Linked DNA regions of Astyanax mexicanus. The protein of the gene in region 3 purifies or fractionates together with the protein of the main gene of each other region. This does not show direct contact. Links are inferred from orthologs where the notes say so. Each region holds a gene or a part of one and is shown on either strand. Other genes may lie near its edges.

Evidence for each region.
Region 1: the proteins of skp2 (region 3) and fbxw2 purify together in Homo sapiens (affinity purification with western blotting; 4 studies listed by BioGRID). This does not show direct contact. The link is inferred for Astyanax mexicanus from reciprocal best matches to the Homo sapiens genes SKP2 and FBXW2.
Region 2: the proteins of skp2 (region 3) and dusp1 purify together in Homo sapiens (affinity purification with western blotting; 3 studies listed by BioGRID and IntAct, with this or other methods). This does not show direct contact. The link is inferred for Astyanax mexicanus from reciprocal best matches to the Homo sapiens genes SKP2 and DUSP1.
Region 4: the proteins of skp2 (region 3) and e2f1 purify together in Homo sapiens (affinity purification with western blotting; 6 studies listed by BioGRID). This does not show direct contact. The link is inferred for Astyanax mexicanus from reciprocal best matches to the Homo sapiens genes SKP2 and E2F1.

What each region holds. Positions count from the first base shown.
Region 1 is NC_064408.1:17,947,499-17,955,420, forward strand, and holds the start of fbxw2 (F-box/WD repeat-containing protein 2), read left to right. Parts: upstream 1-4,910; 5' UTR 4,911-5,440; intron 5,441-7,922. UniProt on the Homo sapiens protein: Substrate-recognition component of the SCF (SKP1-CUL1-F-box protein)-type E3 ubiquitin ligase complex.
Region 2 is NC_064417.1:131,397-139,129, forward strand, and holds the start of dusp1 (dual specificity protein phosphatase 1), read left to right. Parts: upstream 1-4,711; 5' UTR 4,712-4,909; coding exon 4,910-5,309; intron 5,310-5,926; coding exon 5,927-6,075; intron 6,076-6,181; coding exon 6,182-6,401; intron 6,402-7,173; coding exon 7,174-7,529; 3' UTR 7,530-7,733. UniProt on the Homo sapiens protein: Dual specificity phosphatase that dephosphorylates MAP kinase MAPK1/ERK2 on both 'Thr-183' and 'Tyr-185', regulating its activity during the meiotic cell cycle.
Region 3 is NC_064424.1:6,373,170-6,380,451, reverse strand, and holds the start of skp2 (S-phase kinase-associated protein 2), read left to right. Parts: upstream 1-4,263; 5' UTR 4,264-4,318; coding exon 4,319-4,419; intron 4,420-6,713; coding exon 6,714-6,937; intron 6,938-7,225; coding exon 7,226-7,282. Other genes in the region: G-protein coupled receptor-associated protein LMBRD2B, read right to left, coding at 381-493, 590-763. UniProt on the Homo sapiens protein: Substrate recognition component of a SCF (SKP1-CUL1-F-box protein) E3 ubiquitin-protein ligase complex which mediates the ubiquitination and subsequent proteasomal degradation of target proteins involved in cell cycle progression, signal transduction and transcription.
Region 4 is NC_064420.1:14,793,055-14,800,362, reverse strand, and holds the start of e2f1 (transcription factor E2F1), read left to right. Parts: upstream 1-4,286; 5' UTR 4,287-5,790; coding exon 5,791-6,039; intron 6,040-7,308. Other genes in the region: znf341 (zinc finger protein 341), read right to left, coding at 3,093-3,123. UniProt on the Homo sapiens protein: Transcription activator that binds DNA cooperatively with DP proteins through the E2 recognition site, 5'-TTTC[CG]CGC-3' found in the promoter region of a number of genes whose products are involved in cell cycle regulation or in DNA replication.

The DNA.
Region 1 (7,922 bases), on a different chromosome or scaffold from region 3:
CATTGTGGGGGTCGTTTGTGGAAAGACTCTGCTCAGCCTCTCATCTGCATAGTTAAGGCAAAAAAACAAAGGTCAAGACTACCACCTTAATTCCTGCATCTTCTGAAGAACTGCTGAAGTGGGAGGTTTTTCATATTTTCTGTAGAAAATCCATTGAAATCCATGAATTGAAAACATTTCCTTTGAAGGATGGAGAGAAACACCCACATGAGAGATGTTTGCTTTCCACGACTGCAGTCCACGTGTATAAAATTCTGTATACTACTGAAAAACAGTGGACATGGACCTGGCCTGGCCTGGTGTGGCTTTGATTTCGATCCACGAATCAAGAGAAAGACACTGAGAAACAACACACCTCCATAAAGCCTTCAAACAATCTGTCAACCTGAAAAAGGACAGCTTGCTGCAGTATCATACTGTATTATAAATATAAATATATACGCCATCAAACAACAGCCTCTCCCTACAGATATGTTAGGTGATAACTGTGATACTGGAGCATTGGGTAATGGACAGTAAACTGTAATGGTACTGAAACTTGTAAATGATTGAAACATCTAAGGATGTGAAAAAGTGCAGTTGTACTATATTTCCTTTCAAATATGCAGAAAAGCATCCAGTATTTATTTGTCTTATTTATATGATCGGTTTGAGCTGTTTTAAGACATTTTGTTTGCACAAAGATGATGTATCACTGATATATTTTTAAGTGTAAAATGCAATGGTCTCGTGATCCTGTCCTGATCATTTTGGCTCATGTGACCCATGTGTTTTGAGTTTATTTAACACTGGTGTGTCAAATCAGATCCCTTTCTGCAGTCTTGCTTTTTGTTTTTCCAGCTTGAACTAATGCACCTCTTCAGAAGTGTTCCTTGTACTACAGTACAGTATTGGCCTATAAAGCCTGACTGCACAGCATGAAATTCTGAAGTATCCTGAAGTATTGTATGCTCGATTTGAAATGTCCTGTTAACACACCAGACAATGATTTGATTCCCATTATTATTGGTGCTTATACCTCACATTACATTTGTATGCACTCTATGCTTGTCTTTTTAAGCCGGTATTGGGTATGGATTTGTAAAGAAAAAAAAAATGAAAGTATTTTCCAGTAGCCTGTAACACACCATCAAACTTCTGCTCTCAGTAGGTAAATGACTTGGATTTCTAAAAAACATATGTATTGCTATCACATTCACCTAATCAGTACAATATAGTGCATAGAATCACATTGCACCTTATGTTGTGATATGTGTTAACTGAGGTTCCTGAATAAAACATCCTGGCTTCAAACACAGCTCTCTGGGTCTGTTACAGTGAAAGACATGGTACAAAGTTAAAAAACATGCAGTTATTTAACGTCAAAATCTTTGCTACTATACTGATCTGAGGAACAATGACAAGTAAACAGACAAGCAAGCGGCAAACAATCAGTGCAGCAGACCTCACCTCACATACATATCCCATAGATCAGTGCAGCTTACTCTAGCATTCATGGCATATAGCAAAAAGCAAGGGACCCAATACTAATATTCACATAATGTGTAATGTCAGTGTATATAAAATATATTTTATCTATCTAAAAAAATGTAAAAATAAATAAATAATAATAATAATAAATAAATATTATTATTTAAATAATATTTAAATAACAATATTTATTATTAAATAAATATTATTATTTATAATAATAAATAATAATATTAAGGTCCTTAAAAGAACAAATCTAAAAGGCTTTACTGAAAAAAAACTGATATAATTGTAACAGAGTTCTAGCCGCACCCAGTAATGGGTAGTGTATATTTTTTGGATTTTATTCAGTGTTCCTGTACTGAGAGTTCCCCCTCTTCTCATGGGTATGGTTAATAATAATAATAATAATAATAATAGACTAAAATATGGTTCTCACCATTACAAAAACATGAAAAATATTAAAGTGAAAACTGTAAAAAAATATCAATAATATTCAACAGTAAATTTGCATATCTTCACAGATCTGGGATTGTGGGTTCGATTGTCAGTCTGGCCTTTTCTTTAAGGAATAAGCTTATCCACATTGTGACACATGGGTTTCCTCCCACCTTCTTAAAACACTCAGTTTGTATTTGAGCTGCTAAATTGTCCCAAGATGTGAATAAATGGGTGTGTGCATTTAATGAACTGGCCAAAGTGGAGTCCAAACCAGAACCCAGTACATATCGAGCCTAAGTCAAGAGCACGACTTTTACTAGTCGAGTCTAAGTCAAAGACCAAAATTAAAAGACCAGATGAAACATTGTCAAGAGGAAGATGGATGAGCAAAAGCCATCTAACCAAGCTGAACTGCTTGAATTTTTGCACCAGGAGTGGCATAAAGTTAAAACTTTGCATTGTTTTCTTTGCATTATTTGAGGTCTGAAAGTTCTATATCATTTTTGTTATTTTGGCCATTTCTCATTTTCTGCAAATAAATGCTCTAAATGACAATATTTTTATTTCGAATTTGGGAGAAACATTGTCTGTAGTTTATAAAATAAAACAACAATGTTCGTTTTTATTTAGACATATACCTATAAATAGCAAAATCAGAGAAACTGATTCAGAAACTGAAGTGGTATGTATATATATAAATGCAGTGGCGACTACACTTCTACTTTCTGAAACAGTTCTTTAAACAGGCCCCTGATCTTTGCTGGTCTGCCTTACTATTTCAGATGTCTTCAGTCTGAGAAGACTTCACAGTCCCAGTGGGTTACTCCATCTGTGCTTCTTTCTGACAGTTTAATGGGGGTTATTGTCACAGGAAATTTCCACATACCTGCAGGTTCCTGTCATTCTCCATGAAGGTCACACAAATTGGATGTTCAGTGTGGGTGGTGTTAATATGGAAGAACATCCTTTATTCATATATTGTTCTAATCTAAAGTATTTACTGTATGTATTTCCATTCAGACTGACATTCTTTCCATGTATTATATTACATTCAATACTGTTAGAAGATATGGTATCCTGGAGTGGAACAATATGGAACAACATTACAGAAATAGTTAAGGAATATAACATATACTATATGGACACAAATAATGGAACACCTGCACATTCTTTGTTTCGTCCAAAATCAAGGTTATTGAACCGTTAAAGCAGTTTAACCTGCTTTTGTTGGAGTAACTGCCTCTACTCCTCAGGGAGGACTTCAGCCACAAGACCATCCCCAACATGACCGTCCCCAACTCATCCCGGGAGCACCATCATTCCAAACAACACAAAACCACTAAACTTGAATTCTGGTTCTCAGCTCCTGTTTCTGGTGGACCCTCAGCTCTGCGCTTTTTAGTGCTTTTCCTTGTCTCAGCACAACTAATGCAACTAATCAGTTAAAAAAACTCTTCTTGAGCTAGTGTGTGTGTGTGTGCTCCAGAAGCTGTGTATAATATAAGTATAATAGTGGTGGCTGGTATGTGAGCTCAGATAAACACCAGATAAGCTCTCTGTCGTCCTCTGGTGTTCATGCTGTGTGTTTGAGAAACAGCGCTTTTCTGAATTCTCTCGCGGGCTCCCTCTAGCGGACGTTACCCTTATGTGATTTTCTGATATAAACGGGGAGATATGAAGCGGACAAGCTCTCTGTAAACAGGCTCTTTCCCAGATTTAAAGCTTTTAACATTTGATGTTTTTTATCTGTACTGAAATGTGAAAAAAATAAATGTCAGTGTAAAAATGATCAAACATTTAGGAACTATGATTTTCACAGGAACCCCTTTATTTTATATTCTTGCACAGGCAGACATTCTAAAATGTGCACTCTATCATGTATTCTTACAGATCCCCTAATGTGACAGACATCATGCTAAAACAATTACGAGTGGCCTTGACTTATTACGATGAGATCCTAAGGCATGGTCACAACTTATTAAGGCATGGGAATAAGATCCTCATGCCTTGTAATGAGATAATTAAGGTGTGGAAACTAGGTAATTAAGGCCTGGCCATGACTTAATAAAGCATCGTAACATCTTAATTAACTTTTTTTTAACATGATGTTACTTTAGGGGCTCCGTACTTTGATTTATTATTCTGTTTTATCATGGGTTTTATTATTCTCTGGCTACGACTTAATTATCATGTTCCCATGCATTAGAATCTCGTTTCTACATCTTAATAAGTTGTGGACATGCATTAGGGTCTCATTCCCGCACCTTAATAAGTCATGGCCACGCATTAATTTTTTTTTTAACAAGATGTCAACTTAGCGGCTTCGTATTGGGTAGGTAGGTAGGCAGGCAGACAGACAGATAGATAGATATATCTATCTATCCCAGAGGGATATTTTGGACATCCAGTAGGAGGTATACATAGTACACAGAAGTTACAAAAAAATGATAAAATATAATGACACAGATATGACCAGTTGCTGTGCATATTGAGAAGATGACTGATGTCAGCCATACAGACAGTGCAAGAACTCAGTTATATCATAATTTAGCAAATTTGCAACGACGTAAACCGAGGACAATAAATAAACTAGTAGTGCAGAATAGTAAAGTAAAACAATAAAAACGCACCATCATAAGAGAAAGTGAACCAAAATAAGGTCAAATACGGCTGCAGACTACAGATCTTAATTTTAATTGCTCGTTCTGTAATGTATACCAAAAACCCTATTACATCTGTTTATAAGTAATATTATGTCATTAATCGAATTAGTTTCTTATATATTATGTATGTAATGTCTTGTTCTTTATTGAATTGTTTACGTGAAGTTTAATTCAATAATAATAAAAAAAAACGTCCAACATGGCACAAAACACAAATACAACCTCACCCTTACATCACCACTCAATTAGCTATTCCTCCATATAAACCCATTCATTTTTCTCTCGTACAGGAGCGCCCTCTGGTGGTCGGACATATACGGAAGGCGGTGTTAAGTGGGCAGTCTCCCGGCTACAGCTTCTGTGGCGGAACTTCCCGTCGCTGTTGTGGGTTAACGGGTTGTCTCCGGGTTCTTTAGCCGTTAGCTTTCCTCACTAACAGGCGCTGATTAAAACGCTCAGCTTGTGCTTCTTAAATCCAGACAGCGCTGAAAGCGTGGAGGAATGAGGTGTCTGTCTGTTCGCGCGCAGTTTATTAACTCTTATTTTTTTATTCGGTTAAATCTGTAGTTTATATTATTCAGTCTGGTTAGCCAGACGTCCAGGGAATGCAGAGCTCAGTTATTTAGGTTAGCTAGCTTTAGCTAACAGACTAGCCTGGCTTCTGCAGCACAACTGAGGAGCTAAGATACATTTTAAAGGTTTATTTTCTACCTGTTAAATATATATAATCTTATTAAATACATGTTTAGCTCGTAGGGCTCACTGTAACATTGGATTTGAGCTAGCTGGCTTGTTTGTTAAGGTGTTTCTCAAGCAGCTAGAAGCTAACTAGCATCCCCTCTAACCATCGGATTCTTCTGGAAATGGTGAGTGGCTTGTTGACTTTCTCACTGATATGGAAACGGAATACTAATAAAATGATAACACTGGGATATACGGTCCTTGTTGTGAGGCTATTTCAATTGTTTGGAGCTGCTGAACTGGTTTGTTTAGCTCTTGTATCGTTAGCTAACTAGGTTTAGCTTATCCATATGTCATATCACTGCTGTTCTGTAGCTATATTGACCAAGTAATATCTACTACACTGCTGGAGCTCCCCAAATGTTTATACCCTCTGTAGCTATATCTGTCTATTTTTCCTGTGGGTTATTTGATTGTATACATGTAGATAACTGTGTGTTTTAATCTATTGTATGCGTAAATTCCCTTTTTGATCAATAACATTTCTAGACAGCTGTATAACTAACTTACATCACTTGTCAAAAGTTTGGACACACCTATTTTCATTCAATGTGTTTTCTTCCTTTTTTATGATTTTCTACAATTGTAAATGTAATATATAAAACATATTAGACAGGAACACATGCAGAATTATTTAGCCACATTTAACTTTAATAACAGATTTGCACACTCTTGGTATTTTCAAATTAAAATAAATTTATTTGTATAGCGCCTTTTGCAACTGATGTTGTCACAAAACAGCTTTACAGGACAAATAATCAGACAAAACACTGAACGTACACCTGGAATAGTTTTCATAGTGTCTTAAAGGAATTCCTAGAGGTGCTGAGGTGTTCTTCCCGCTGTGAAGCTCCATCCCAAATCACCTCAAATCACCATCTCAGTGGATCAGGTTTAGATCAGGGGATTTTGGAGCGCAAACACTTTTTTTTGTTTACTACATAAATGTATGGGTCTCTCTTATTTTTTCTACAAGTCTACATTATTAGAAAAGGAAAGAAATAAAGCAGAACATTGATTTAGAAGGTGTGCCCAACCTTTTGACAGGTAATCAATTAATCAGTCATTGATAGATTGTTCTACAGACCCAAAAAAATAAATGTTGGGTATTTACGTTCAGTTTTACCCAAATCTTAAACTGAGCTTAGACATTCAGAGCTGTTTATTGTTTAAATAATCAATGTATTAGGACACACCTGGGAAACAGACTTACCTGACAGTCACCTATTACAATACTTTTGCTCACGAGGCAGATGAGTTTGTTCAGACAGTAAGTGCTATTTTCTGCGTTGTGTATCAGATCCAGATGTAAACACCTGGAAGTAAACGCTGAACTCAAATGACTCAAATTCAGTCGGGATTGGTCTCGCTGTTCCAATGCTTCTAAAGGGGACTGTATATATCTATCTAGCCAAGCTATTTAACTAGCTAACCTATGTGTTTTGGTTGCAGCTGTAACATTGTGTGGGCTAAGTGGCCAACATCTAAACATCTCTGTTTAAAACTAACTAACACTAACTAATCTAGTTAGTCTAGTTAAATTTTGACATGTGGTTAATTAGTTAGCTACCTATCAAACATTGGTTATTTGGTTTGTTGATCAGCAGGTTTCTTTAGTCAAATAACTGTCAAGTACAGGGGTTGGACAATGAAACTGAAACACCGGTCATTTTAGTGTGGGAGGTTTCATGGCTAAATTGGAGCAGCCTGGTGGCCAATCTTCATTGATTGCACATTGCACCAGTGAAAGCAGAGTGTGAAGGTTTAATTAGCAGGGTAAGAGCACAGTTTTGCTCCAAATATTGCAATGTACACAACATTATGGGTGCCATACCAGAGTTCAAAAGAGGACAAATTGTTGGTGCACGCTTGCTGCCGCATCTGTGACCAAGACAGCAAGTCTTTGTGATGTATCAAGAGCCATGGTATCCAGGGTAATGTCAGGACGAACCACATCAGACAGGATTAACTGTGGATGCAAGAGGAAGCTGTCTGAAAGGAATGTTTGGGTGCTAAACCGGATTGTATCTAGAAAACATAAAACCACAGCCGCCCAAATCACGGCAAAGGTTAATGTGAACCCCAACTCTCAACTGTCCGTCGGGATAATAAATTATTGTGGTCTTAAACCTGGTGTTTCAGTTTCATTGTCCAACCTCTATAGGTGCAAATACTGCAGTTGTTTTTCATGTTGTAACAGGTAGTAGAACAGCTGTAGTTAGCCTTGTCTGAAAGTAACCTACTCTTTTGCTGTGTAACTACTTTCCTAGTACCAATCTCATCCCCAACACACCGCAGCAGGTTTGTTTCTTTTCTACACAGAGCTTATTCTGTTGGCAGTACTGCTCTACAGGGCGGAGACAAGCTCTGTGTTTACATCTGTGTCAGCAATACTTGCAGTTTTCAGTAGCTAAAGGCATTCAATAAAAGGGGTGTCCATATAGACTCAAGTTAGGGTTTTAATGCTTTTTGATGTTTATTCAAAAATGTTAAATGTTTAATATATGTTTTTTTATTGTTGTTTTTAAATGCCATTTTCTTGTAGACAAAATACATTTAGAATATATAAATCAAAGGAGTAGCAAATTTTATTAGAGTTTGGTATTT
Region 2 (7,733 bases), on a different chromosome or scaffold from region 3:
CTTTTCTCACAGTGATACTAAAACCAACACCAGTGGAGACATACAGAGATACAAATCATACATTAAATTATAGTAGTGTGTGTGTATATATACTCTATATATAAGAGGTAACAACCGCACACTTCACATTGCTTAATGTAAAGTGATGTCATGCTCTGTTGTGAAACCTGGAAATTGCTGAAATGCAGAAATAGAAACTGAACATAAGTCAGCAGCAGAACAGACTGGAGGATATACCCTGTAGTTTCCCAGGACGCACAGCACTTACCCAGACACACTTCTGTCAGTAAATGAATGGTAATGACAGGGGTATAGCCTTGCTGGAATAGTATATATAGGAAACCTCCTGCATATATACCCTTCTTTCAGTTCCCTTTCACACCGAGAGTAAAGAGTAAACAGAAATACGGTGGGAACTCTGAGATTATCGGTTTAGAGTGACTCACTGAAGCTCAGACTCGTCTGATTATTGGAAGTGAAGCGTCACATGTAGCGGTATTTTATATGTCACTGTTTCGCTCTTACGTTTGCTGTTTTGTCACCGTTCTGTACGTTTCTTTAATCAGCGCTGATAGTTAAATCCTTAAATTCATCCCCTCTTACTCTCTGATCTTCTTAGCGATAAATAAAGGTGAAAATGGAACATTTCTTGCGTTGATGTTTTCATTAATCCCTTTTACCTAAAATCCTACTCTTACAGTGAGTTTTGTTAATGAATGTATTTCTGTTACTGTGCCTTTAAGACAAATTATATGTAAATTAACTCCACTCTAAAGAGCTTTCCTGTATTTTCACTCATTCCTTAAGCACTCAAAGATGTACCACTCTTTATAACTTCAGTGTGAGTGGGCGTGGCTAAACTGCTGTAGGCTAAATAGGTTGAGATGTTTAAACTCATTGTTTTTGTAACTTTATTAAATCATTAAAATCACAATGTGTTGCTTTTTTTAGAGCTTAGTTTTCATATAAACACATGTAAAATTCAAACATGTTTCTATTAAACGCAAAACTATTAAAATAATTGAATGTACAATATTTTGTGAATGCGTGTCGATTCATCGATACTGTCCTAATTTAGCATTTCACTAAATACTAAAGAATCTCATGTTTCTTAATCCACCCCCTCCTCTATTTAAAGTCAGCTCGGGTACAGTACAGTGTGTTTTCTGATCACCCTAAACACACACACTCAACAAAAATGAGTAACGCTCCATTTCGCAGTTTAGATTCCAGGACTGAATCATGGCGGTGGGGTTCGGACAGTGAAGTCCAGATCAGTGGGCAGATGTTGCTGCATCTCCAGCCGTTGCCAAGTTCCCGTCTCTTGTTACTGGTGTTTCTTCCTCTGTTATGGTCACACAGGCCTCGAGCAGAACTCCAGCGGTCCAGCTTCCTGACTCAGGCGCCAAAAACGCAGCCCTGACGTCAGTAACTGTACCGACGCTGTCCTACTTTCAGTTCAGTGTACAGCTCTGAGTCTGTGAAGCAGGAAATGTGGTAAACATTTCAGGGCAGCGTATGGGCTGGAAACATCGAGATATGTTTAGATGTACACAGAGTTTAACTAAGTGTAAGAGCTGGATTACGCTGGATTAATATAAACTCCAGGAATTCCTGAGATATTTCTAGATATAACAGCTGGAATATGTGCAGTGCTGAAGTATCTGGACCAGTGTAATAAGTAGCACTTGTTCTTGTAATAAAAAAATAAACAAATAACAGGTTAAGATGTTATGGCTCATAATATTTGATACTGTGTGTTTTCCCCTTAGTACATCTAAACAAGCAAACATACAGTGTTTTTAAATCTGTGTGGACTGCACTCCCCAGTAGACCACAGTGATAGTGTCTGAGGTCCAAAATGTAGTTGTTGTTGTTTTTCCTGTAAAAATCATTCTAATATAAACAGTAATATTTCTGCAAACATAATTCAACATGTGCCAGATTTTATGTATTTACAAAAATATATGTATATAATGTTCTCAGTGATTTGTTTGGTGTAGCATAGCAACATAACAAACAATGCTGTGTGGTGGATTAGAAACCGAGTTCTGTTGATGTTATTGCGAGTATCAGGTTTCACTCTTTTATCCATAATGGTAAATAAATAAAAACAGAAGAAACGAGCTCAGGCCATGAGACTACCTCCACCATGCTTTACTGATAAGCCAGTATGTTTTGGATCATGAGCAAATCCATTCTTCTTACAAACTTTGAATCTTTGTGGCAAGTCTCTGTATATTTTCTGGTCTCCTGATTGGTGCTGCTGATGATAGGGTTGTATCTTGTGGTGCTTGATCTATATCTCTGTTATTGATTGGCTCTTTAATGGATGATTGATTGGGGTCAGGCCGGCCCTGCAGAAGTGGTGGAAAATGTCACTGCTGTTGTTTTTGTGTTTTTGGTTGGTTTTCGGCACAAATCTCTCAGTGTTTCTCTCATCTCAGCTTCAAATCCTGCTTGTCTTTTCCGACTGACTCTTTTCTTTATGTTGTTTTATTATTTTTAGCAACAAACAAAGAGTCATTTGGCAACAGATTAAAAGCAACAGCTTTTCTTTAAACATACTTTTTTCTGTTTCTGCAAATAAACGTTTCAAACACAGTTTTTTCAGGAGACCAGTAAACAATCAGAGTTCTGTTTTCAGTACGCATATCTCTATTAGAATATGTAATGTTTAATCACAATTAAACTACAGGCCTATTTTAAACTTTTAAAAATATAATTCTTGTGTCTTGATGCAGCTTTACATGCTCTTTACATTCTCTCAAAAAGTTCCACTGAGATCTTACTGGCTGCTAAAACTACTTCAATTATGAAAATACATAAACTCTTTATATTCACATTTTAATAAAAAAAAACTATATACAGTCAGGTGTGTCCAAACTTTTAATTGGTACGGTGTGTTATGTAACTCAGAAAGTTATAACCCAAAGCAACTTTTAACCCACATCTTCAACCACATCCATGACAAAATACCCGCTGTTGTTATGTGCGCTGACAGGATACACAACAACACAGAGCTGAGGCGTGAGTGCAGTGTTTGGGGAAACACTAATATAGTGATTAAACCTGTCAGACTGCATTTCCTGTTTAAACTGCAGTAGATCTGCTGTACGACTCATTTAACTCAGCTTTTCTGTTTCTCCTGAAGCCCAGAACAGGTTTCTCACTGTAAACAAATAAACAGGCTGTGTTCCCGCGCAGAACCGGCGTCGTGTTTTTCAGCTGATGGAAATTTACCAGACCTCCAGTTTCTATACAGTGATTAACTTTTATGGTTGGCCTTTGCTCTCGCCGCATTGCACACTGCATAGTCCTGTACAATAAAAACAAAGTATAAACTTTTATGAGCGCAGCGACAGGTATTCACTAATTATCTTGTTATTCGTTAGAACTCATCAAAGAAGGAGAGCAAAGACCAAATCCACAAACGATCACATCATGGAAAAATTTACTAAATTCCTCGACTGACACTGACCTGCTGCCAGAAGAGAAAATACTTCATTAAAAATAATTCATAGGTTTTATGATTTTTTAGGTAAAACAAAGTTATAAAGGTTAAACAAAGTTATTCTGATCATTTTATAGGTTACTGAGAAAAAATGAAGACAAAATGTACAAATACTGTTTATAAACAACAATGAAGATAAGTATTCTTAATAAGTTATATAGTTATAGTAGTGGAGGTGGTACAAATGCTATTGGTAGTACTGTTTGTAGTACTAGTACTAGTTTGGAATGCAGGAGTAGTATTGGTGATAGTAGAACAGTAGTATTGGTGGTAGTAGTAATAGTGATCATCCAGATAGTATTAGCTAATAGCAGTGATAGTAGTAATGGTATAAATAACATGGGTATTACATAGTTGTAGTAGAAATAGTGGTGAAACTAGCACTAGTACTGGTAGTAGTAGCAGGGCTAGTAGTACCAGTTATAGTTTTGTAGTAGTTTTGATTGCTGGGCTAGTTTTGGGACAGGTGTAATAGTGTTGAGGAGTGAGGTGTAGAGAAGTGAGGTGTTAAGGAGTGAGGTGTTAACGAGTGAGGTGTTAACAAGTGAGGAGTGAGATTTACAGGAGTGAGGTGTTGAGGAGTGAGGTGTTAGGTGTGAAGGGTGAGATGTAAAGGAGTAAGGTGTTAAAGAGTGAGATGTACAGGAGTGAGGTGTACAGGAGTGAGGTGTTGAGTGAGATGTAAAGGAGTGAGGTGTGAGGTGTACAGGAGTGAGGTGTACAGGTGTCAGGTGTGAGGAGTGAGGTATGATGAGTGAGATGTAAAGGAGTGAGGTGTAAAGGAGTGAGGTGTTGAGGGGTGATATGTTGGGGAGTGATATGTTGAGGAGTGAGGTGTACAGGAGTGAGGAGTGAGATATGATAAGTGAGGTGTAAAGGAGTGATATGTTGAGGAGTGAGGTGTGAGGAGTGATATGTTGAGGAGTGAAGTGTGAGGAGTGATATGTTGAGGAGGGAGGTGTGAGGAGTGATATGTTGAGGAGTGATATGTTGAGGAGTGAGGTGTGAGGAGTGATATGTTGAGGAGTGAGGTGTTTGAGAGTGAGGTGTGAGCGGCTGTTGTAAGGGTTTGGTTGGTCGCCCTTCGCTCTGCTGCTCGTGACGTACGTGCGAGTTCACGCTGGCAGTCCGCCAGACTGGGCGGGGCCGTGGCGTCACCGCGCTGCTGCTCTCAGAGCGCGAGGGGTATAAAAGAGCTCCGGGAGCAACCACGGGCAGAACGACACACGGAAAAGAGGATCACCGGGCTTCAGTTTGAGGAAACAACGCGTGAATTTCCGAGAGATTTTTTTTTATCACCTCAAACGGAGCCGTGTTTTGTGAATAAGCCTCTGTGCTGTGAGTGTAACCCTCCGCGGGCCGCTGTTCTGTGAGTGGACTGTGCGGCGCTACTTTATGTACCTGGACTTCGCGCTCTGCCCTACTATGGTCATTATGGAGGTTCCCAGTATCGACTGTTCCGCGCTCCGGGCGCTGCTGGACGGGGACGAGCCCGGCTGCCTGGTGCTGGACTGCCGCTCGTTCTTCTCCTTTAGCTCGTCTCACATCCCCGGATCCACCAACGTCCGCTTCAGCACCATCGTGCGGCGGCGGGCGCGCGGCGGGCTCGGGCTGGAGCACATTGTGCCGAACGAGGACACGCGGAGCGGGCTTCTGTCCGGTCGGATCCGCACGGTGGTGCTGCTGGACGAGCGGAGCTCGGATCTCGGCCAGGCGAAGAAGGACGGGACGCTGATGCTGGCAGTGACCGCGCTGTGCCGGAACCCGTGCGGGGCGGAAATCGTGTTTCTGAAAGGTACAAACTCTAAACCTGCGGCTAAACAGGGTTAGCTTAGCCTAGCCTAGCTACACTGAAGCTAACCGGTAATAAGCTACGCAGATCGTTAGCTTACTTTAGCTGGTTAGCTAATGCTAGCTTGTTAGCTAATGTGAGAGCGGTAAAACAGCCTAAAACCATGTTTATTACCTAAACTAAGTTTTTAAACTTCGAATAAATATTTTTATGTACTATTAGTTTTAAATTAACTCTAACCAGGTAGTATAAAAGTCTATTTAGTTTAGTTAGAGTAACGTTAAAGCTGTATGCTCACAAAACCACAAACCCGAAATTAAACCCAACAAAAGAAGTAAGAGCTGAGGTTTCCCCGCTAACTAAACAAGACTGAGCGCGAATTTTACTATTACCTCATTTATAAAGTGAGATACACATCCTTATATTGGAAAATGGTTAACTAAATAAACATTAGATGTAGTTAATTTTATGTAGACGGAACTGAGTAAACCTGGCCGTGCTTTACAGCCTGTGGTTATTTGTGTTTCTGTAGGGAAACTCCGCTCAGCTGTTCACTACAGATCACACTTAAACTAAACTGTGTAATTAAGCCAATTTTTCAATTTTCTCTCTGTTTTTAGGTGGATTTGAAACATTTGTCTCAGAGTTTCCTGAAATGTGTACCAAACCAGTTCCCCCGCAGGGTCTCAGTCTGCCTCTGAGCGATAGCTGCCAGTCTGATACCACTGAATCCGGCTGTAATACCTGCGCTACCCCTCTGTATGATCAGGTAAGAGCTGAGAAAACATGCCTTAGTAACTTTCTCATTTATTACACTTATTTAGTTTTTATTTTTGCCTTTATTCACAGTCCTAAATCCACTGTTTTGATTTCAGGGTGGCCCTGTGGAAATCCTACCCTTCCTGTATCTTGGCAGCGCCTACCACGCCTCACGAAAAGACATGCTGGACATGTTGGGCATCACAGCTCTCATAAACGTATCTGCCAACTGTCCAAACCATTTCGAGGAACATTATCAGTACAAGAGCATTCCTGTTGAAGACAACCACAAAGCTGACATCAGCTCCTGGTTCAACGAGGCCATTGAATTTATCGGTGAGAATAAGAAAAAATATAAAAGCTTTATATCCACTCTTTGATTCCCAGTTACAAAACGAAAACAGATGCAGCTATAGGAAAGCTTTGGTGAGCAGACTTCCCCTCCCCCTCCACAAGTGTGGCCTGAATTAAAATTTTCAAAAGTTCCCTCCAAATCAACCAGCTGGATGGGTTAAGCTTGACAGCTACAATGGCTTACATCATCCCCTCTCATCCCATTTAAAGAGGCGCCCCCTTTTCATGGAAAGCAGCAGGCCATGACCTGATCTGCTTTTTAGGGAGCAACTGGCTCTTTGTTCTGTCCAAACAAAAGGGGTTTTTCTCTGGCTCTCCACCGGCCTTCCTCCCCAGATCAATGCTCCCAGCAGGCGGGGCAGCCGCCCCCTATTGTGTATTCAGACCTGCTACTGAGAGAGTGCTGCCCCATCACCCACCCCCAGCTCTCATCTAACTTCTTCCTGTTTCCCTGGTCAGACTGCTCCCTTCCGTAGTGCTTCTGGTGGATTTGTTATTTGCAGTTAAAGTGGAGGGAGGCAACTCTAAAAGGGAAAGGAATTCCTTTAGCAATTTAAAGGTTGAAGCTAATTTTCCCCACCAGAAATCTGATGACCGAAATAAGAGGAATTTAGGAAACAAAAACAGATCTTATTATTTTAGCTTTTTGAATCTAGCTTTTGTGATGTAAACCCGAACACATTAGATGCTCTGTGTTGAATTAGAGCCATTCTGTGTAGATTTAAACTAACGTCCTCTTCTTTTTTCCTCACAGACTCAGTTCGGAACAAAGGCGGCCGGGTGTTCGTCCACTGTCAGGCTGGTATCTCGCGGTCTGCCACCATCTGCCTGGCCTACCTAATGCGCACTAACCGGGTCAAGCTGGATGAAGCTTTTGAGTTCGTTAAGCAGCGGCGCAGCATCATCTCCCCCAACTTCAGCTTCATGGGTCAGCTGCTGCAGTTTGAGTCGCAGGTGCTGGCGTCCTCCACGTGTTCCTCAGAAGCAGGGAGCCCGGCGCTCAGCAAGAGCAGCACCGTCTTCAATTTCCCCGTCTCCATCCCCGTCCACGCTGCCGCCAGTCCACTGTCCTTCCTGCACAGCCCCATTACTCCCTCCCCCACTTGCTGACTGGTCACCAGCATTTCTGTTGGACCCGTTGCCTTCTGACTAAATTGAACTTTTGTGGTTCAGATGATCACTGTGGTGATCTTTACAGTGCTGGACAACTACAAACCTGTGTTTGTTTGTTTGTTTGTTTGTTTGTTTGTTGCTACATAACAGTATTTGCACACCTTTCTAGGGAGCAGTAGGTGGCAGGTCCAACCGTACTCC
Region 3 (7,282 bases):
AGCATGAAAACTGTGATTTTAAACCAGGGTTATTTCACCAAATATTGATTTCTAAACTCTTACAACTTTATGAATATGAACTTGTTTTCTTTGCATTATTTGAGGTCTGAAAGCTCTGCATCTTTTTTGTTATTTCAGCCATTTCTCATTTTCTGCAAATAAATGCTCTAAATGACATTTTTTTTATTTCTAATTTGGGAGACGTGATGTCCGTAGTTTATAGAATAAAAAGTTGTCTCTTATTTTCTCTCAGAGCTGTATATATAGAAACAAACAAAGGACACACTAATGTACCTGTAATAAAGACAGTAGCTATTCCTAGTCTATTATTCATGAGCCTCTTTACAGCACAATAGAAATAACACAGAAAGTAGACCAACCTAGCAGTGGGCGTGACAGTCGCATTTCCTGTTGTCTGGTTGGAGATTCCTGGGCCCACAGATGGTGACTGAGCATGTTCCTCATGATCAATCACGCACTGTTTGTATATTGTCTGGAATACATATTAAACACAAATATGAATTAAGCTGCAATGCATTTAAAAATCATAGAATAATTATGTAATTTCCAAATATCAGACTAAACGAACCGTGCTGACGTCCAGCGGGAGAATGAAGACAATGAGAAAGCACAAATACCAGGCCAGCAGTGTGCCAAAGAGCACCATGCGCTGCTGCTTTTTGAAGTCTCCATAACGATGCAGCAGGAACAAAGCCAGGAAAAAGACCACGACTATCTCTATTCCCAGCGCAGCTCCACTCATTCTCCCCTGCTGCAGTCCTCCAGACTAATGAAAACTGTGCAGAACAGGCAGAGAGGAAAAAACATGTTAGACAGAATAAGAATAGCAAGACACTAAAGACTCTAAAACACTATTACATGGAGCAAGAGCTAAGCACAGCAAAGGCCTTCCACAAACTAATTACAATTAGAATACAAAACACCGGCCTCAGACAAAAGCTAGTGTCCCCTTTACCAATCTGAAAGACCTTTTTGTTTTTATTCACTAGAGCAAGATTACAAGAAGAAATCAAATTATTCTGAATCGTGGGTCAGACACAGAGTTTCATATTATTATTTTGTATCTATACTTGATTTTCTGATTCTTTCATTTTTGCATTTAGTAACACATTTGGTTGGATTATGGGATCATATTTCTGTTATTTCTGTTTTACACTTCTGCGTGCGCATATTAGTGGCTCTGTGTCGCTCTGCAGTTTAAACTGCAAAGGAGGGAATGTGTGGATGGTAGTCCTGGGTGAGATTCATGCTTAATTTTGATTATTCGAATTACAGTTTTAATGCGTTTTTCAAAACGGAGTAATCACGAATTTACATACAGATATTTTATCTTTTTAATCTGAAATATCCAAAACTGTTACTTATTTGTTTAGTGCTTATCTGTCTTACTTTGTGACTCCCACAGACTAACAAATGCATAATTTTTTAAAGTTCCAGCACTTTCAACACAAACACCCGGTGGAAAAAAGCACATATTTAGCTAGAAATAAATCTGTTTCTAAAAACTGCAGCATCATAGCTCACCTTATTTTTTTACAGGTAAACCTAGTTTTGAACCATTTCTTTGTTTATTTGTAGTTTGATTTTTAGAAGGATGGAGAAAACCGGTTTCTAGACGAAAATTGGATTTTTTGTTAAAAAAAATGGAAGATTTTTATTAGGCCATAATTGTCCAGCACTAGTGGGAGGGGACGCGAGGCCCGGCAGACCAATCGCAGCTCCGGCTGTCCAACTCTGATAGAAGGGCTTCACTTTTATCAGAGGCACACTGCTCAGCTCAATCTGCTCTAACTTCGGCCCCGCCCCTAAACCCATACATCACCTAGTGCCCCTCCCACACTACCCCTCCCTTTCTTTTAGAATATTTCAAACTTGAGCTGAGGGAGGAGGGGGTTGGGGCCGTAAAATCAAAATATTAGCTTCAACATAGAAGCACAAACATCAACATTAAACACCAACAATTCAGTTTAACTTCTAAACTAATGGTTTGTATATATAACCTTTTATTGACTCTAATATTTATTAATATACTGATCATATTACCAATAATAAGCGACTTGTCAGACTGTGTGTTTACGCGCATCCGCCGTTGCTGCTAGCTTTAACTACAGCTCTGCTAGGTTAGCTAACAACAAACCCAGCACAGCTAACAGTTACCGTCCGTTAGAAGCTAAACCCCGATATACAGGCTTTTCCTACCTGTCTAACGCGCTGAAAGATACACAGACCGCTCACAGAGCCGCTGTTCTCCACTTCCACACCGCCAATACTGAAAACTGCCCACTAAATAAAGCTGTTCGAGCTACAGCCATTACTCTGCCTGCCCCAAAATCACACACACATCCCCCGGCCACAGCTGCTTTACCCCGAGACCGCCCACTCACCGCCTCCGCCGCTAAAGCAGAAAACCACTGTACACCGCCAGGGAGAGCCCGAGAAAGAGACTAAAATGAATAGGGTGAATAGAGCTTTTTAGTATATTTTATGTAGTTTGCTTTTAAAACATAAAGCACAACCAATACAATATTGAAAAGGTGAAAACAAGGAAATATGCAAGTGAACAAAAGGAAAAAAATATATAATATGACATACAGTATAATATAATTATACATATAGTGGTAATATAATTAATACAAATATAAATAAACCTAGTTACATTACATTACATTACATTTGGCAGACGCTTTTGTAGTGAAGAACAGAAATAGTAGAAGGTAAAACAACTTAATATAAGGCCTAAAGGAGGTCAAAGGGGAATAATGGGATAGAGGAGTGAAGGAGGGGAAGAAGGAAATGAGGTTAGAAGTTGTTAGTTTGTTAGAGGTGTTAAGAGGGTAAGTGCTCTTTGAAGAGAGCTGTCTTCAGGAGTTTATTAAAGATAGTGAGAGATTCTCCTGATCTGGTAGTAGAAGGTAGTTTGTTAGAGGTGTTAAGAGAGTAAGTGCTCTTCGAAGAGCTCTGTCTTCAGGAGTTTATTAAAGATAGTGAGAGATTCGCCTGATCTGGTAGTGGAAGGTAGTTTGTTCCACCATTGGGGAACTCTGTATGAGAACAGTCTGGATTGCTTTGTGTGAATGTTTGTTTGGTAAAGCTAGGCGACGTTCATTGGAGGAGCGCAGCAGCCGGGAGGTAGCGTAAGCCTTTAGGAGTGATCAGTGCAGGTAGGAAGGAGCCTGTTCTGTCATCACCTTGTAGGCGATTGTAAGAGCTTTAAAAACCTAGTGTAAAACTAACAAAAAATATATATAGTCAAAGATAAAATTCAAAAAATATTTTTCTTTTTTTTTTGCAATTCTTTATTTTTCCAGTGTGTGCTAAAAAATAAAAGTGCTCTATCATAAAAAAGTCGCTCCACAATTAGAAGTACATGTACTAAAATAATAAAAATGTTTTGTATTTACGTACAGCAAGTATTTATTCTAAAATGTACTACTTAAGTACTGAAAGTAGAAGTACAATATTGTGTCATGTACTAGCTAACTACTACTTCCAGAGCAGAGCGTCTGAGTGGGAATTCTCTTTTCTATTAGAGATTATTTTCACCCAGCGACCAGAACAACTCTAGGGAAGCAAGCGGGACGGCATTCGGCATCTTCACGCATGCGCACTGATAGTGTCGCTTTGTATGCAACATACACGGCTGGATGTGGGCTACGATGACTTGGAGATCAGCAAATATGAAAATTCAGTGAATTAAATTTAATTATTTGGATTAATAGAATGAATTAAATCTATCTACAGCACTAGTAAAATATTTGGACACCCATTCTTATTAATATTTGTTCTTTATTTTTATTATTTTCTACATTGTAGATTAATATGAAAGACTTAAAATTATTATTATTTATAATTTGTAGTTTATTCGTGGTTTGAACACCCATTCCTTCAAGACGCTGATTTACTTAGCCATAATATTTTAGACATAAACATAAAATGTAGACATAAAATTTCAAAACTATTCTTATGAAGACACAGATTAAAATACCAAGAGTTTGCAGATCCGTCCTCAAAGATAAACGTGCTTCTTAGATGTTTCCTGTATAGCGTTAATATTGTCTTCAATATTAAATTTACAATGTAAAAAAAAGATAAAAATAAACAAAACACATTGAATCTACCTGTCTGTCTGTCTACTTGTCTGTCTGTTCAGTCAGCCCTGGTCTGAGTGAGTCAGTGTAATATTTCTCCGGTCCAGCAGGGCGGCGACAGTCTGTGCGCTGCTCCGCTCTGAGCTCAGTCTGGGTGGCGGTGGAGCTGCGCGTTTAAACGGTGGCGGCTGCAGACAGAGAGCACAGCAATGCAGAGATCAGTACTGAGCAGCAGATCTGAGAGATTTACTGCGGAAACACATATAAAACAATTTAAACACGGACTAGAGAGTGAGATGGCAGTGGATAGGTGAGTATAGCACTGTTTATGGACTGCAGAAGTGCCTGGTTGTGGAATAACTTATATTAATACTGGGTTAGTAGATAGAGTAGTTTTAGTGTTTGGTTATAATGTAGATAACCCCTTAATAATTCATACTAACTAGTTATCTAACTCTTTAGTGTAGTGTCTTTCGTAGCCAATTAAATATGTATCCAGCAATGTGATCAGTAAGTTAGTTAACTGTACAAGTTATCTAGAAAACGTATCTAATACAAGTACTAACAGTTAACTAAGCTAAGCTAGCTAAACTTATAACTTACACATGAGCTTCAGTAATGCTCTGTTTAGCTAGTTAGGTTAAATCCTGTGTGTTTAAAACAATATTTGCTCTAGATAACATATTATTGTCCTATCCTAACTATTACAAAGCTTTATATATCTCTAAAGCTAAGTTATATAAGTTATTTAGCTTAAAAGTTAAATAGAGGGAACTGAGCTGACTGCTAGCTATTATGGCTAAGCTAACCTAGCTTTAGCTCCCTCCTTTCCAGCACTTCTGGCGCGCCTTGGCTTTTAAAGGCTTTAAACTTAAAAATAAGAAAAATATTATTCGTTTAACTATCGTATCATGTCTGTATATAAAAATGTTAATCGTTATGATACTTATTTCTGTGATTTTCTATCATTTTGAGCTCTTTTTTGGTGTTCTATTGTTGAGATGGCGCGATCAGAGGGAGCCAAACTGTAGTTCTGGCGGGCACCAAAACAACTCTGAAAAAAGTTTCAAACTCCGCCTAATTTTCACTTTAAAGCTCAATAAATTAAGGCATATATGTTTTATAGTATATTTGACACTTGTTTTTTGTTACATGTATGTTTTATAGCTTGATAGCTGTTTTAATTTAGGTTATTTATATGTTTAATGTGCGTTATTGCTTGACAAACAACTACACTGAGCACAGTTGGCTGCTCAGTGTCGTTAATGTTAGCTTAAATAAATGATTTGGGCTGCAAGAGTTGATTAACATAATCGATATTGTTGATTATTAATGACTTTACCTAACAAATTTCAGTGTGGACTAATCGTTAACTAGATAGAAACCTGTGGACAGAAACCCACAGTAGGGGGAGGGTTTCAGGGCTACTCACTCACTAAGTTCACACTTAGCCTGGGCACCAAAACTGATAACAGATTACATAATTAAAGGTCAGGGCAATATGGCGATATTATCATATTATAAAATCTTAATATCCTATTGATTATGCTTAAAACATATAAATAAAATTCAGTGCCTAAAAATAATGATACAACTGTTCATTTCAATAAAAAATTAGGTAATGCTTTTTGACCCTTTCAGATTCTGCAGCCATTACAATATACATCATGTATTTTCTTTATTTTTAAACGTTTTATTGCACATAACACTATTTGATAGCTATCAGAATAGACTGTGAACCTTGAATGGCAAATGAACAAGTTACTAAAAGACAACTTACTAATCTAATGTGAGTTGGAAAGCGTTTTAATTGTTTTTTTTACTGTTTAGGAATTGGTTATGAAACGAAAAAAAAGATTTATATAAAATCTGTGCTAAATAGATTTTTTTTTCCATCACTGGAGATATTTCAGGTCTGAAAGTTTTTTTTTTTTGCAATTTTACAGCAGCTCAAAGAACAGAACAGAGGAAGTATAAGGACATATACATACAAACAATATATAAAATATCTATATATATATATATATATATGCAAGAAAATGAATATAAAGGAAGATACAAGATATTTAAAAAAGTATTATTATATAAAAATACAATTTTGTTAAATTGGAAAATTAAACATTTTATTTTTTAATAAATCAATAACTTGGTCTGCTTTCAGTCTCAGACGCTCTTGGTTCTGGTCTTAATTCGGACTTGGTTCTAGCTTTCTTAATTACAACACTATTGGCACAGTTAATGATGACATACAGTAGGACACAGGCGGTAGCTTTTATATTGTTTATATTGATAGTGGAATTATATTGCATTGGCCAAAATTCAGAAATACCTTTTGGCAATATCGCCCAGCCCTAATATTTACTAACTAAATACGAGAAGATTTTACATTTTCCACTGTCTTCTGGGCATTTATTTACAAGGCCTGTAAGTCCCACTTTTGCACTTTCTATCATTTTTGAAGCAATTTTGAAAGAGCCATACACACAGGAAGCAGAGTTTGGAGGGCATGATATAAACAAAATATAGATTTAAAAATATTTTCTCATGCTTATTAATTAATTACTGTTTAGCTATTGACTCTTAACAAACCACCCTGATTTGCAGGCCGCTTCAAGAGCTTCCATGTCTGAATGAGAATTTGGAGGGATCCCTGCTGTGCATGTCTCAGACGAAAAAGAAGCAAAGGCTGCGCTACGGTGAAGAAAACACCCCGCATGAATTCATCCAGCACCTTTCACCCCCTCGCAAACAGCCTCGGCTCTGCGGCAAGGGCAAGGAGAACGCTTTTGTGTTGGCCAGACGTCCTCGAAAGAGCAGGGAATCAACAGGTATTGATATTGTGTTATATACCTTTATATCCAATGTTATTACATGTGTGCTTAGTCAATAATCATTTGAGGGAGATCTCCCTGCTGGTATTTTAACACTGATTTACAGTTAAATGTATACACAACTTTAGAACCAAGTGTAACATTTATTTTTCTTTTACTTTAGCTTTCAACTAACTGTATGCTAACAAAAAGTTATATTCTTTTTTTACATTTATTAAACTATAGATACTATACATTTCCTTAAAAACTCAGTCTGTTCACAAACATACTTTCTCCCTCCTGCAGCCGGTCTATCCTGGGACAGTCTCCCAGATGAGCTCCTGCTGGGGATCCTTTCACGCC
Region 4 (7,308 bases), on a different chromosome or scaffold from region 3:
AGAATATGATGCATGAAACTCCAGCAGAACGACATCCACATCGACTATTGTCACACTTGCCTGCACACTTACATATTGAGAGCAGACTTGGTGGTAAAGGCTTAAGACATTTTGATGGCAGGAGTGTGCCAAAGTGCTCCTTCCATCCATGGTCCGTTGGCTCTAGTCTTGCTTTGGTGTCCTTGGCTACTGTAAGCATGTTGCATGCCGTATGAACCAGAGAAGCCCCTTGTTGGATGTTTTCTCTGATCACACTACTTGTGAGAGGGAGAGCATCAATTCCAGTACTTCCATGTGTGTAGATTTCTACAAATGTCTTAGCTTTCATCAAATATCTTATCTGTTGTTGTTGATCTGTCCCCAGCCCAGACATGCACCAAGTGCTTCTCAGCCAAAGCTGCATCTTGCTCTGTCAAGGCCTGCATCTTGCTCTGCCTCTCCAAAGTTGGCTCAGTACTGGACTGGGTCAAAAGCTGTAGAAACAAGTTTAGTCTCCACCTTGCTCATACAGTCATCTCCAGTCAGGATATGAGCTTTAATCACTGTCTTTGAAAGTGATGCTCCAAGTCGAGAGACTGCTTAGAGAAAGTGTCTCATGTCCCGATCGTGATATGGTTTGCAGTCGAACCAGTGGCAATGCTACTGTATTTGTGAGCTCTGTTGTCTTTCATTATGAGGTGTTGCCAGCAAAGGCAGCTGGTGGGGACGAGATCCCAGACCTATTGAACAGGATTGAAGAAGCTGATGCCAGGTTGCTGGTGCATGTTGAGTGGGCTATTCTTGTGAAGCAGTGCAAAAGAGTTATCATAGTCTCCAATGACACAGACACCTTTGCATTGCTTCTCCGCTACAGCACATACTTCCCAGAACTTGGGATGAAGGAGATCTGGTGGCAGTATGGCAATGGTGAGAGGCTGCGAATGCTTCCACTCCATCAAGCAGTCTCTCGTTTCGGAGCATAACTGTCAAAGACAGTGATTAAAGCTCATATCCTGACTGGAGATGACTGTATGAGCAAGGTGGAGACTAAACATGCTTCTACAGCTTTTGACCCAGTACTGAGCCAACTTTGGAGAGGCAGAGCAAGATGCAGGCCTTGACAGAGCATGATGCAGCTTTGGCTGAGAAGCACTTGGTGCATGTCTGGGCTGGGGACAGATCAACAACAACAACAGATAAGATATTTGATAAAAGCTAAGACATTTGTAGAAATCTACACACATGGAAGTACTGGAATTGATGCTCTCACAAGTAGTGTGATCAGAGGCCACATCCAACGAGGGGCTTCTCTGGTTCATATGGCATGCAACTTGCTTACAGCCAAGGACACCAAAGCAAGACTAGAGCCAACAGACCATGAATGGAAGGAGCACTTTGGCACACTCCCGCCATCAAAATGTCTGAAGCCTTTACCACCAAGTCTGCTCTCAGTCTGTAAGTGTGCAGGCAAGTGTGACAATAGTCGATGTGGCTGTCGTTCTGCTGGAGTTTCATGCATCATATTCTGCCATGGAAAAATAGAAAAATCATTCTGTAAAAAACCCATCCCACTAATATGCATGCACGCATTCAGTACACTTAAGAATAGAAAAACGACCTTGATCATGACCTTTTAATGTCAAAATCACCCAATATGGTCATAACAATATCAGAAATAAGTTTCTCATACCATAATTAGTCTAAATTGAGGTATTATTTGTGTATATACATTCAGAAACAAAAAAGTTGGATTTTCATCATAGCCGATGGCAGCCATATTTGATTTGACCATTGCGGAATTCGTGGCACTATGGCGGACGAGCACCTCAGGGATTTTTCATGTCTAGGGACCCACTAACTCAGTTCAAGTGAGAAATTCCCCCAACACCAAATTGCGAACAGGTCTATAGGCCAGGTACAGGATTACTGGTCCTCACATTACGGCCCGTTGCTTGGTCATTTTCCGGCATGCAATAAATATGTTTGCAAACACTGAAAGTTGGTAATATCTAGACCTCGACCAATGTGATGATACTTAATTGAAACTATTATCGGCCAATACCGATATAATGCCAATATCACTGAGCATCCTTAATCTAGATGCCTGCTATTAGAATGTATTTCTACTATGCTATTAAGTTGTCTTGGCTTGTAAACAAAAGTGAAAATGACTCAACTTTATCTTAAAGTTATATTTGATTTTTTAACCTGCTAGGACGTGGTCTTTGTTGCCATTTTCTTTTAAAGAAATGTAATGTAATTGGCCATATCTCTACATAATACAATGAGGCATACAAGTCATAAAAAATATGTATGTGTGCAAAAATGTGTAAAGAAGGTTATGTGACTGTTTTAAAATGTTTTCTTTTTGAATAGCTTTAATACAAGTGTTTTTTTTATCAAACATTTGATATAACAACAGAGACTCCTAAGCTAATAATACATGCTATATAGAATTAACAGTTTTGTATTTTATCTGTCATTTAAACAAAAAAAACTAGAACATATAAGCAGAGTCATCACACTTTACTACTAGTTCTGTCTAAATCTGTTACAACAGATATGTCAGTCTGTTTGTAGCAGTTCACAAAGCTGTGGTTGGCTCCCTAATTCAAAATCCAGGTCCACCTTAAAAAATACATTAATACCGAACTGCCACCTGCACACGCCCCCGAGCAGAACAGCGGCAGCATTTAAGGTGGACCGCAGAATTTGACCATATAGCGCTGGGGAGGCTTTTCCCACAACTCGCCTTTCGCCCTCCGCCATCTTTCCTCCCTCAGTGCGTAGCTGTTGTTTCAGCGGCCCACCCTCCCTCTTCTACACGAATCTCAGCGCACACAAATAACAGTGAAAAACACCCGAACGAACCCAAAACACACTCCAAACACACACACATCCTGCAGACCCGTCCGCTTTAACAGGACCGAGCAGCTCCGCTTCACGCTTTTAACGGGTTTAAAGGGTTTAACTGAGCCACACGGAAGACACGAGAGAACCGGCTGCTTCTCAAAACTTCAGTTTTCAGAGCAGGAAATAGAAACAATTTAAAAGACAGCTGAACGTCTGTATTTCTTTGTAAAAAAAAATGAGTAAAAAATGCTTGTGTCTACCTTCTAGCACCTCAAATATCGCCTGCGACATGTTGAAGTCTTCAGCAGCCGGCGGAGCAGCGCTCTCTGTCTCTCTGAGGCGGAGGAGTGGGCGGGGCCTGTCAGCTGATTAATATTACACATTCTATTCATTTATATTTTAATATGATATACAGTAGCAGTCAAACATGTGGACACACCTCTTCTCGGGCAATGTGTTTTCTTTCTTTTTATGATTTTTATATTGTAAATGTAATACTGAAGACATCAAAAAGGAACACGTGGTATTATTTTAATAAGTGTTTTATACTATAAACTTAGTTCTTCTAAATAACACATTTAGATTTGAAGGAAGATCTGCACACTCTTGGTATTTTAAGTCTCCTGGAATAGTTTTCTTGAAGGAGTTCCTGGAGGTGCTGAACAATAGTTGCTTATATAATCATTTATAAATATTATAAATATGTATTCATTTAATATATATTTTATTTCTACATAATTGTCTTCTTTTTTAAATTTGCTTAAATTAAAAACTGTAGCAATATTAGACAAAGCCAAACAAAAGAAATACAAACATCAGTATCCACTAAAAATACTTCTTAGGCTATGCTTGGTAGTTGCAATTTGGGACTTTAAATAAAGACTTTGGTTGAAAGAGTATGAAAAATACCCATAAAAGAGAAAAAAAAGTTTTTTACATTTACTTTGACTTTTCTTTTTATTGCAGACAGTATGAACCCAAATGTTTTATATTTTCACCCATCAAATTCATTCCAACCCATAATGGACAGCATTAGTAGTAGCTAGTCTACCCTCAATATCTTTAGTCTTTATAATAGTTAATTATACTAATCATTCGTATACATGTGTGTCATATACATAGTAAATGTGAAATACTGTAATTATTAGAATATTATTATTTTATTACAGTATTACAATGCAATATAGTAATATAGGCAAATATGTAACAGACTGCTATGGGTTATAAGTATTTCAGAGCTCTTAATATTCTTAATATTCTCTGGTCAGCTGAGACAAATGTATTAGCCTGCTTCTAAAATATATGATACCTAACAAAGCCAGCTAGATACGTAGCTAGTTATTGGGCAAATTCTAATGAAAATGTTCCACATATAATAATTGTAATTATAAAATAAAGTCTTTGATAAATAAATATATTTTTTAAACTTGCTCATCGATTAAATTCCCATTGTTCTCTCCAGAAGTGCCTGTTTCTGAGTTACAGGCGCGGCTGCCAATCAGAGAGCAGAGGAACCGTGACGTGAAAATTGTTCTCGTCCAATAGTGTCGCCGCGATTCGGCACGTGCCAGTTTTCGCGGCAAAAAAGATTTGGCGCGTAAATAAGCTAGAGCCGATCAGCTGAGACAAAAACAACAATAACAAAAAGGGAGAAACAGCGGAGCAGATCGGTTCGGGGAGCGGACGGAGGCTCAGCGGCGGACCTGTGGGCACAAAGCGAGAGACTATCGGGGGTTTATTGTGGATGTTTTCGCCTGGAGAGCGCGGCCGACAGGACAGTTGGATTATTTAGCTAGTTTTTGGACGGAGGAGCTTCCTGGACGGGTTTGTTTTGTTTCTGGCAGAAAGAGAAACCAAGGGCCGCAGATATTTTAAACTTTTACACTGAAAAGCCTCGCCTTGGTCACCTATTAACTCATAATAGTAAAAAAACTCTTTAAAATGTTTAAATGTGTAGTTGCTTTAAAAAAAAGTTAATCTATAGTTTTTAGATGCATTTCTATCAGCCATCCAGCTTAATATAAAGCTGAACTTGACTGTTGCTGTAACAATATCGTATAGATCAGCTAACGTTCATATTAACTTAACTAGGTTAGTAGCTACAATAGGCACTAGTAACTTTGTATATTCATATTTTCTGACTTTCCCTATGTTTCCTATGCTATATTTATTATTGTCCACTATTACACTTTAATAGCTTCTAAATTAGCTTATAACCTAGCTTGTATAGTAACCTTCATATTTACATTTCCCACTTTATCACTTTAATAGCTTCTTAACTATAACTGTAGCTAATATAGCTAACTATAGTAATTTGTATTCGTATATATTTCCCCATTTCCCCACTTATAGCTTCTATATTTGCTAGCCAGTTAGCTTTGGGAGCAGAGTTGCAGCTGCTGGCCTTTCAGCTGTCTAGTCATAGGGGACCAAAACAAAGGGCTGCTAGCACTCAACACTGACAAATGCAGATTTTCTGACTTTTAGAGCTGTAATCCTACTTTAAAGTGTCAAAAACAGCCGTAATGATATTTCCTTACATTTGTAATCATATTAGGCAACTTTCACTCCTCTGCTTTTTGTCAAACTTTGTACTTTGGCTGTAAGAGCCTTGACCTAGTTATCTAAGTTAGCTAGTTAGCGTAGCTGTTTTGTTAGTTTAATGAATGAAAGCCTCTCATATTAATGCATTAACTTGCGTTAAATCCGCATATTAAACTTAAATATCTCTATAAGAAATATATACATATGTCAGCCTTAATATATGTAATTATAACAAGCCCTTATAAACATGGCTCCTCCAGCAGGACGGTATTCTGGCTGCCCTCAGTGTAATTTCACTCACAGCACACAGTTCAGGGCAGTCTCCTGAACTCTTTTCCACTGAAGGCCTGAATCAGAGGGTGTTTTCGGAAACACAGCCTCATTTAAAACGCGCACTCAGACAGACAGTCCAACATGTCAAAGACCTTCATATCAGGCCACACGTCCGAGGACCTCCTGGCCGACTTCGAGTCGCTGCTGAACAGCGGGAGCATCGACCTGAGCGCCGAGCACCAGATAGTGATCATCTCCACCCCCGGCGGTGTGGAACTTCACCCGGCTGCCACCCACTCCGCGGGCGGGGACATCCTGCTGTTCGCCACGCCGCAGACCACCCCGGCCCCCCTGGAAGAGATCCGCAGACCCGCGCTGGGACGACCACCGGTACTGACCATAAGCTAATCAATATCTGCAGAATTACTGATACTGACTGAAGTAGGTGTAACCGACAAGCAGCAGCAGCAGCAGTAGTAATGATATGGTATTAAAACAGTCTACTAGTCTTACAACTGCTAGAAATGCATCTGCCATCTGCAAATTACAACCACTGTGGTTACCAGTACTGCAACTGCTACTTATTTTACTGCCAAACAAGTACAACTGCTAATCCTACTGCTGCACCAGTACTACAACCACTGCTGCTATTACTAGTTCTTATACTACCAAACAAGTACAACTGCTAATCCTACTGCTGCACCAGTACTACAACCACTGCTGCTATTACTAGTTCTTATACTACCAAACAAGTACAACTGCTAATTCTACTGCTGAACTGGTACTAAACCTACTATTACCAGTATTAGTATATAATAACACAGTATTAGTATATAATAACACTTATTAGAGTTGATTTAACACTAACAGTGTTGATTTAACACTGCCAAATTTCCTGTGTACTAACTCTACTTCTGAACTTGTACTACAACAACTAACTCTACTGCTGAACTAGTACTACAACAACTAAATCTACTGCTGTACTAGTACAACAACTTCTAACTCTACTGCTGAACTAGTACTACAACTACTAACTCTACTGCTGAACTAGTACTACAACTACTAACTCTACTGCTGAACTAGTACTACAACTTCTAACTCTACTGCTGAACCAGTACTACAACTTCTAACTCTACTGCTGAACTAGTACTACAACTTCTAACTCTACTGCTGAACCAGTACTACAACTTCTAACTCTACTGCTGAACCAGTACTACAACTTCTAACTCTACTGCTGAACTAGTACTACAACTACTAACTCTACTGCTGAACTAGTACTACAACTTCGAACTCTACTGCTGAACTAGTACTACAACTACTAACTCTACTGCTGAACTAGTACTACAACTACTAACTCTACTGCTGAACTAGTACTACAACTTCTAACTCTACTGCTGAATTAGTACATTACTGTTCTTACTAGTTCATCTACTGCTAAACAAGTACAACTGTTAATTCTACTGCTTAACCAGTACCACAACTACTAACTTTACTGCTGAACCAGTACTAAAGTCAAGTCAAGTAGTTTTATTGTAAATACTGCATATGTAAAAGACATACAGAGAATTGGAATTACTTTCCTCTCCTTCTCAAAAGTTACAGAAAATAAGATTATGAATATAAAATAGTGAGATACACTATATGTACATTACAACAAGG